Linked DNA regions of Sus scrofa. The protein of the gene in region 2 purifies or fractionates together with the protein of the main gene of each other region. This does not show direct contact. Links are inferred from orthologs where the notes say so. Each region holds a gene or a part of one and is shown on either strand. Other genes may lie near its edges.

What was found. The genes of interacting proteins can lie anywhere in the genome.
Region 1: the proteins of MAGOHB (region 2) and PYM1 purify together in Homo sapiens (co-immunoprecipitation; 3 studies listed by BioGRID and IntAct, with this or other methods). This does not show direct contact. The link is inferred for Sus scrofa from reciprocal best matches to the Homo sapiens genes MAGOHB and PYM1.

Annotation. Positions count from the first base shown.
Region 1 is NC_010447.5:21,325,148-21,329,949, forward strand, and holds the start of PYM1 (partner of Y14 and mago), read right to left. Parts: upstream 3,255-4,802; 5' UTR 3,237-3,254; coding exon 3,113-3,236; intron 1-3,112. UniProt on the Homo sapiens protein: Key regulator of the exon junction complex (EJC), a multiprotein complex that associates immediately upstream of the exon-exon junction on mRNAs and serves as a positional landmark for the intron exon structure of genes and directs post-transcriptional processes in the cytoplasm such as mRNA export, nonsense-mediated mRNA decay (NMD) or translation.
Region 2 is NC_010447.5:61,428,103-61,431,831, reverse strand, and holds part of MAGOHB (protein mago nashi homolog 2), read right to left. Parts: intron 3,198-3,729; coding exon 3,139-3,197; intron 2,457-3,138; coding exon 2,346-2,456; intron 1-2,345. UniProt on the Homo sapiens protein: Required for pre-mRNA splicing as component of the spliceosome. Plays a redundant role with MAGOH in the exon junction complex and in the nonsense-mediated decay (NMD) pathway.

The DNA of each region.
Region 1 (4,802 bases), about 40 Mb from region 2:
CTAGAAATAAACCATTGTAAAGAGCTAAGGAACAAAAAAACAGTGAGGAAATAGAAGTAGTTATGTGTAGACCTGACATTCAAGAAATCAGGCTATGAACAGGATAAGAAGCAGAAACAGAGCTCCCACAGTGCAGTAGATTAAGTATCCAGCATTGTCTTTGCAGTGGCGTGGGTATGATCCCTGGACCAGCACAGTGGGTTAAGGATCCAGCATTGCCACAGCTATGGCATAGGTCACAGCTGCTTCTTGGATTCAATAACTGGCCTGGGAACTTCCACATGTCGCAAGTGTGGCCAAAAAAAAAAAAAAAAAAAAAAAAAAGAAGAAGAAAGAAAAAGAAAAATAACAAACCACCTTGATTTTTCAATGAAACAGAAAGTGAGGCCATTTGCCACAAGAAGCATTAAAAGGGATGGTCACAGAATGCTGGGAAAAGCAGGGGAAATAGCCATGGCAGAATGTAAGCAAATCGAGAAAGAAGAATTGAAGCTGTGATCTTGGCTGAAGTTAACATTAAGTTATATTATACTGAAGGTGTATATCTGTGTCTTTTCTCTAGCCATGTACTAGGGCCTAGAAGCAGAAGCCAAGAAAACAGGTGATAGGATGATCAAGGTAACAGAAGTGCTGACTTAGTACAGAAGATCAAAATGAATGAAGAAAGCAATGATGATATAGTGACTCGTCACATAGGTCTAGCAGGGCAGCATCAAAAGTAGTCATGAAGAAGTTCCTGCCATGGCACAGTGGGTTAAGAATACCACTACAGTGGCTCAGGTCACTGTGGGTTTGAGCCTTGGCCTGGTACAGTGGGTTAAAGGATCCAACAACCACAGTGTAGGTCGCAGCTGTGATGCGGCTTCAATCCCTGGCCAGAGAACTTCCACAGATCAAAAGTGTGGCCATAAAATTAAAAAAAAAAAAAAAAGTCATCATGAACATACTGGTGGACTCACCAAAATGGGAAATGTCAAGCACCAGAGAACCTAAGGAGGGGAAAAAAGCCGATTCTGTGGGTGTATAAGTAATAAAGGTGATTGGGTAAAGAAGCTAAAATAAGTGATGGAGGAGCACCTGAAGGGGGAGGCAGTGTCATAGGTGAGGTCCTATGTAGTAGGTCCAGATTGTAGTGACTGTGATGTGTAACTGGTTTGAAAATTCAAAGGAAAGTCAATGGTCTCATTCGGAGGAACTAAAAAGATAAGAGTATTCCAAAGATGTTGCAGTTACTGAGAATAAGTGGTGACACTGAGAAACAGAATGGAGAAAAAAATATGATACAACACCTTTGGGTCCTTGTGGGCAGTGGATGATGGCCCTGAGGTTTTAGAGAAAATGCTCTAGCTGCATTGCAATACCTATGAGAATTACAGTGACAGTGGTAGATCAATGTGCTGGAATTAGGGAAATAAAAAAGCAATGTGATTCCTTCTCCTTTTCCACATAGAGATAACAGAAGATACCTCTTGGTGGGAGAGTAGGGCAAGATGTGATATCTGGATTTTCACTAAATCAGAAAGAAAAGGGAGTTATGGAGTTCCCAATGTGGTGCAACAAAATGGGTGATGTCTCTGCAGTGCCAGGACACAGGTTCAATCCCTGGCCAGGCACAGTGGGTTAAACAATCCAGTGTTACCATTGCTTCGGCACAGGTAGCAACTGTGGTTCGGATCAGATCCCTGGCCTAGGAGGGTACTACATATGCCCTGAGGTGGCCAAAAAAGACCCAAAAAAAAAAAAAAAAAAAGCGCAGTGGGGGATTATCACATCAAAGCAAGTTGAGGATATGGCATTATCACTGCAGCAGCTTGGGGCACTACCATCCCACGGGTTCGATCCTTGACCTGGGAATTTCTTAGTATCATGCGTACCGCCAAAAAAATAGAAAATGAGTAATGTTTTCAAAGTACACATTGAAAGGAATTAGTTGAAGAAGGACCTACTATGTAGAGTGCAGAAGAGATTGTATCACTATGAAATGTGAGGTTGCAGAGAAATAGCAGAGACTTGGGTCGTCATTAAACATGATAGGAGAGGTGGGTGAGATGTAACATGGAAAACATCAAAGCAAGAAGCATAAAAGGTACATTTTAAAACAGACTGCATGTACCAAAGCACACACACACACCATCACTTCTACAGAATACACATACACAATGAGGGTGACAAAAACCAGTTAACACCTTGCCTTATACAACAGTTTATAAATCGCTTTCACATACACTATCTTATCTGATCATCACTGAGTAAATATTACTATGCACATTTTTCTAAAGATGAGTAAATTAGGATGGGACACAACCAAAATGAAAATCTTGATTCTCAGTTTTCAACACGTAAACCTCACATACACAGGAGACACTTAAGCATCTCAATCAGACAGGCTGGAAATTCTTTTCTATGCATAAGGAATAGTGGGTTCTATAAATTTGTCCGAGGGCTTGCTAAAGGCCACTAAACACTTTCTTGTTTGCCTTCTTCCTCCTTAGATCCCTCAACTCCAGTCACCATCACCAGAGAAGGTACAGAAGGGTGGTGCCATCAAGGAGAAAACTCTAGCTGAAAGTTTTAATATGTTCCACTTCCCTTCACACCTCTGAACTTGAATGACCCAACGATGAAGATGAGGGAGTGGAAAAAGCACTATGCAGCAATGAGGAGGGCTCCAATAGATATAGCTTTCAGAAAAAGAATTAAAACGGGACTGGGATAGGGCAAAAAGCAGGCATACTGAGATGGGGGAGGGGAAGAGGGGAAAAGCAGGAATTGGAGGGAACTGAGAGTGGAGGAGCCCCCCCAAGGCTGAAGAACCCAAAGCAGATATAGAGACTCCAACTGCTGGAGAAAAGCTAAGGGTCCACGAGGGTCCCGGAGCAAAGACCAGCACTGAAGGACCCCTGGGTTTGGGTGACCGGAAGCGGAGACCCCCAAACACGAGACCAGAAGGGGGCGCAGGTGACACCCCGTAGGAGAGAATGAATGGGGAAGGCGGTCCGGAGGGCGGGGCAAAGGAGGGGCCCCGGGATGGGCGGGGCACAGACCCCTTTCCAAGTCCGAACCCCTGCCCCGAGAGCCCGGGGAGAAGCGGCTCCGCGTCTCCCGCACTCACCGCCGGTCTCGTCAGTTACATAGGGAGTCGCCATCTTGAAAACGCAAACCACTTCCGGCGTGAGCGGGCTGGGGTCCCGCCCCCCTCCCCACCGGAAGTGGAGTGGATCGCAGCAAGCCACCATTTTAGTCTTAAAGGGAGAGTACACCATTTCATAGACTGAAGCGGAGGAGGAGGAAGCGAGTAGAAGCGGAAGACTTTAATCTAAGAGCCCGTGGGCTCTTTTACTGCCACTGATACCGTTAAGTGAGCGCCTGCTGCGTATATAGCAGTTCTCTGGATGCCGAGAAAAGTTCCGAGGCACAGCTCCTCTCCTCATAGACACTCTTCGTCCGTCTAGGACCTGCGAGAGAAAAGGGGGCAAGGCCCACCTGCACCCAGGAAGGGAGGAGGGGCTAATAAGTGAGAAAAGGAAGAATATTCAGGCCCGAGCCTGAACCCAGGTCCCAGAGCATCTGGGGGACCTGGGGCGGGGCAGCGTAGCTCTGGGAACGCACTGGGGCGCTCCATGTTGGGGGCGAAGACCCCAACTGACCCTCTCTTAGAAGGTGGGGAGGTCGAAAGCGCGTGCTAATTGCCCTTGGCCGCTCAGCTCGACCCTTCGAACCGAGAACCGCGAGAGGGGCGTGCAATGCGGAGGACGCTGCCGGTCAGTCACCTGTCCCCGCAGCCTCAGAGTTGCCCGCGGCTTCTACGGCTTTGGAGGCGGCGGGCCAGGCTGGGCGGGCAGCCCTGGCCTGGCTCTGCCCCTGGAGCGGTCCCGGAGACTCGGGCGACGAAGTGACTACGGCCCCAGTTTGCTCCGGCCTTCGACTCGGGACCCTTCTCGGGCTTGGCCCCAGGGTCAGGAGGGCAAGGTGAAGGCTTCTGGGCGGACCCAGTTAGTATTCTAATTAACCTCGTCCGAGGCACTGTGACTGGGGATCCAAAGCAGGGCAATGCGCCAATAATCTGGGCCATGCGGTCACTCCCTCTGCAGCCCTGCCCTGCCCCGTGCCTCCCAATTCTTTAGACAACCCAAAGGTTCTCCCTCCCCCTCTCTTTTCGGCAAATCTCGTTCCTTCTGGGCTAAGTCCTGCTGAACTCGTTTCCCTGCAGCTTGGGAGGGGCCGGCTACAGGTTCCTCTCCTCAGGTGTCTGCCCTGCCCCCTTCTCCCCTCATGTTGCTTTTTCCTTATTCACTCGTTTATCTTCCTCCAAATCCCCCACTTTGGTTTAGGTTGATATCCAACAGAAGGACTTACTGGCCACCTCTTACACCAGTCTGCATTTCCCACTTAAAGAACAACAACAACAAATCCTAAGAGCAGTGGCTGACCAGGAACTTGCTACAGCTTTGAAATGAAACTTGAGAAGTTTTCTAGGGTCACAGCTTGCCTTCCCTCCCATACTTCACCTTCCCGAGTCCCACCAGAGATCCAATTCAGAAGATCTCAGGAGTTCCCGTCGTGGCGCAGTGGTTAACGAATCCGACTAGGAACCATGAGGTTGCAGGTTCGGTCCCTGCCCTTGCTCAGTGGGTTAACGATTCGGCGTTGCCGTGAGCTGTGGTGTAGGTTGCAGACGCGGCTCGGATCCTGCGTTGCTGTGGCTCTGGCGTAGGCCGGTGGCTAGAGCTCCGATTCAACCCCTAGCCTGGGAACCTCCATATGCTGCGGGAGCGGCCCAAGAAATAGCAACAACAACAAAA
Region 2 (3,729 bases):
CCAATACTAGGATGAATCAACAATTCACAGAAACAGACTCAGACTTTTTAAAACTTACGGTTACCAAAGGGGGACGGGTGGGGTGGGGGATGGCCTGGGGCTCTGGGATGGGCATAACACACTGAAGTACATGGAATGACTGGCCAATGGGGACCTGCTGTGTAGCACAAGGAACTCTATCCAATATTCTATGATAATCTATGTGGGAAAGAGAATGGATGTGTGTACATGTATAACTGAATCACTCTGTGGTACAGCAATTATCACAACCTTATAAATTAACTATACTTCAATAAAAATGAAAAAATGAAAAAGAAATTGCTCTCCAGAGATGCCATAAAGAAGATACAATCAAATGAATGATATACTTCAGAGTGACACTGGGATGTTCTTTATAATGTCAATAAAAATTAATACTATGGGTATAAGTCTACTTTAAATATGATAAATACATTTATCCTTCCTACCAGACTCTACAGACACATTGCATAATATTAACAACAGAACCACTTTAGCACCTACTGTGTGTTAGAGCCTATGCCAAGGACTTTACATTCTCTGTAATCCTTAAAATTAGGCTAAAAACCCTGACAAGGGTAGGCTTTATTAGCACAATTTTGTGAAATTCAAGACTGCCAAAGCAGAGGAAAAAAATCGTTGATATTTACAATCACTAGTAAATGATAATACAAATTTCTGAACCTTGGATCATAGGACTAAGAAATTCATAGTCTTCTGACTTCAGAAAACAATTAAGAATAAAACAAATGCAACATAATACAGATGCTTCCGGCGTGCCAAAATTACAGTATAAATTTTTCTCCAAATTTTATCTGCAAATCTAAAATGAAAAATTAAAAAGTTATAACTGCTTTCAGTTTAAATTAACAGCTTTTTCAGTTTAAATTAACAGATGCCATTAAAGACACTCCTAGCTATACGCTTGATCAGAAGACCTAATTAGCACCGTTCATAGCACACACAAAATGGAGATTTAACAAAGGCTCTCTAGCGGTCATAAAGTCTGTCTTAAAGATTCAATAGACAATTTCTAGAGCATGAGTAATCCTCCCCACTAATTAAAACGCATGAACACATCAAGTGAGTAGATGAAAACACTGGGTTTCCCTCAATCTAAGAGATGATAAAAGCTTTGTTGCTATAGTTTTTGATTTTTAATGCATATGCATACTTGCATAAGACAAAAAGATCAAAATTTACTTTGTAAAAGTATTTACAGCCCATAAAATACTGATAACTATTACCTTTGCTTTCTTAAATAATGTTTCTTTAAATAGAAGTGTTAAGTTACTGCTACAGAGCGTCAGCATCTGTTAGATTTCTCCACATTTTCTTGTAGTCAAAGGAGCTGTTAAACAGTATAATCCTTGGGAATATACAACAGCGAAATTAAATGTTTCTTCCTCCTGGGGTCATATCTCATTTCTCCAAGAGGTGAAAAGACCCAATTCAGAAATCAAACTGTCTTTCTATAGAGTGAAATTAGGCCTTCAGAGTTCTTCAGCAGCCCTCTGAGAAACATCAATTTTTCTGAAGGGAATATGAGAGGGAAAGGCAATGGTTAGTTTGAACAAAGAAACCAATCAAGTCCCTCTCTGGGGCAAATAAGAATTTCCAAAGTTATAAATCTGAAGAAAGTGAATTTTAGGTAGTTAATGAGAATCCTAATGCTCAAATTTAACAAACACCTGTGTTTTTTTCCTATTGTATTAATTATGAATTTATTATTCCTAATAAAAGTAATTAACCTACAATAGAAATGATTCATAATAGTGTGAAAAACATTGTAACTTTAGCTGGGGCAGCTGCAAAGTTCAGAAAGCATTAATTGACAGCTATGCATTGATTCCTTTACTTATAGGAGTAGCACAGAAAATAAGGCAAAGTGAAATAAAATTAGTATTTACCAGATGCCTACTAAATGGAAAACCCAAAACTCAGTGAGGATCCAGTCTAAACAAATAAGGAGAAACATAACAATTATACTAACAATTTTTATTATTACATATTTAAAGAATTACTAAACATGGGAGTTCCTTCATGGCTCAGCAGTTAATGATCCAACTAGGACTCATGAGGATGCGAGTTCAGTCCCTGGTCTTGCTCAGTGGGTTAAGGATCTGTCACTGATGTGAGCTGTGGTATGGCAACAGACGCCGGCTCAGATCCCGCGCTGCTGTGGCCGTGGCATAGGGGCATAGGCCCACAGCTATAGCTCTAATTCAACCCCTAGCCTGGGAAATTCCATATGCCTCGGGTGCCGCCCTAAAAAGCAAAAATAAATAAATAAATATTTTAAAAATAAAGAATTACTAAATACAAACCTGCCGACCAACCCTGTCAGGAGGAGGCCACAAAGCATCATCTTCCTTTGTAATTTCACTGTCGTCAATAATTCTCTTCAGTTCTTCCATTACACTCTTGTGTACATAAGCCTGAAAATAGGTTATAAAAATTTCAGGGTCTATTCTCCCCATACCTCAGAAAGAAATAATAAAATTACAAATCCTGAGTATTCAAATAGAATATCAAAAAAAAAAAAAAACCCTTAATTCTGATTCTAAAAGCACAAGTTGGGAGAAAATCATCCATCCTTATGATTTTTCTTCACTCCCTTGCCCTTTCCTTTAAATATATATTTTTCCCTCTCCACATCCTAGTCCCTTTTTAAATCTTATCCTCTTCATTTGTAACATGGACTCAAATATTTCAGAATGGTTAATGCAAAATCTACAGGGTGAACAGAGAAAAATACAAATACACATCACAGTTGATACTTTGAACTTTTTCTCACACCTAACTTTTGCACCTCTTATTTAAAATTCATACTGTGTTTAAGTCATGATTATCAATTAGTTTTAAATGACAAATAGGGTAAAAGACAAAGTTAGTTATGAATAAATTAAATAATATGCTCAAATGTGGGACTACAATTTAATATATTCAGATTGCTTCTTTTGTTGTTACAGATGCTACAACTGGAATCCCTTTTCAATCTACAAATTAGCTGCTTTTTTACAGCCTTTAATGTACTTTAAAATATGTAAATAAAAACACAGACAGGAGGAAAATGGGCTTAATGCAAAAAAAAAAATGAAACATTTGAAAAGAACTTACCTCCTTTCTGATCATGACATCATTTTTATAATTGCTGTTGTTGGCGTATCTAAGTTTTCCTGTGGGGAGTGGAAAAAAATTCAATCTAAATAGCAAAAACTGCTAAAAAATAAAATAATGACACTATAAGCAATTTTGAAGGTAGAAACCATTTTATACTATTACTTGTATTAATATTTCCTACCTCCTAGCATAAGATTAATGCTGGATATATGTTGGCTAAGTTGAAGCCAGGCAACTTTTTAAATTCATGCCTTCAATTATAATTATACAATGGGAGGGTCATTTTCAAGGCCCATTTTCTTAATCTATATCACGATCTCAACAGGGAATCTGAAAATGGAACTAATATTTCTTCTAAGTTTATATGTCTTATTTTTGCTAAGTTATTTACCCAGAGCATTTAACCTAATCTGAAAAAAAATAAATAAAAAGTAGGTTTTATTCTTTATTCACAGTTGAGAAAACAGGGAGTTAAATAACTTGCCCAGGGTCACACAAGATTCAAATCTAGATATACCTTCTTAATACTCATGCTTTCCCCACTGTTCTTTTAATTATTTTCCTTCAAATGAATGTGTGTATGTATTA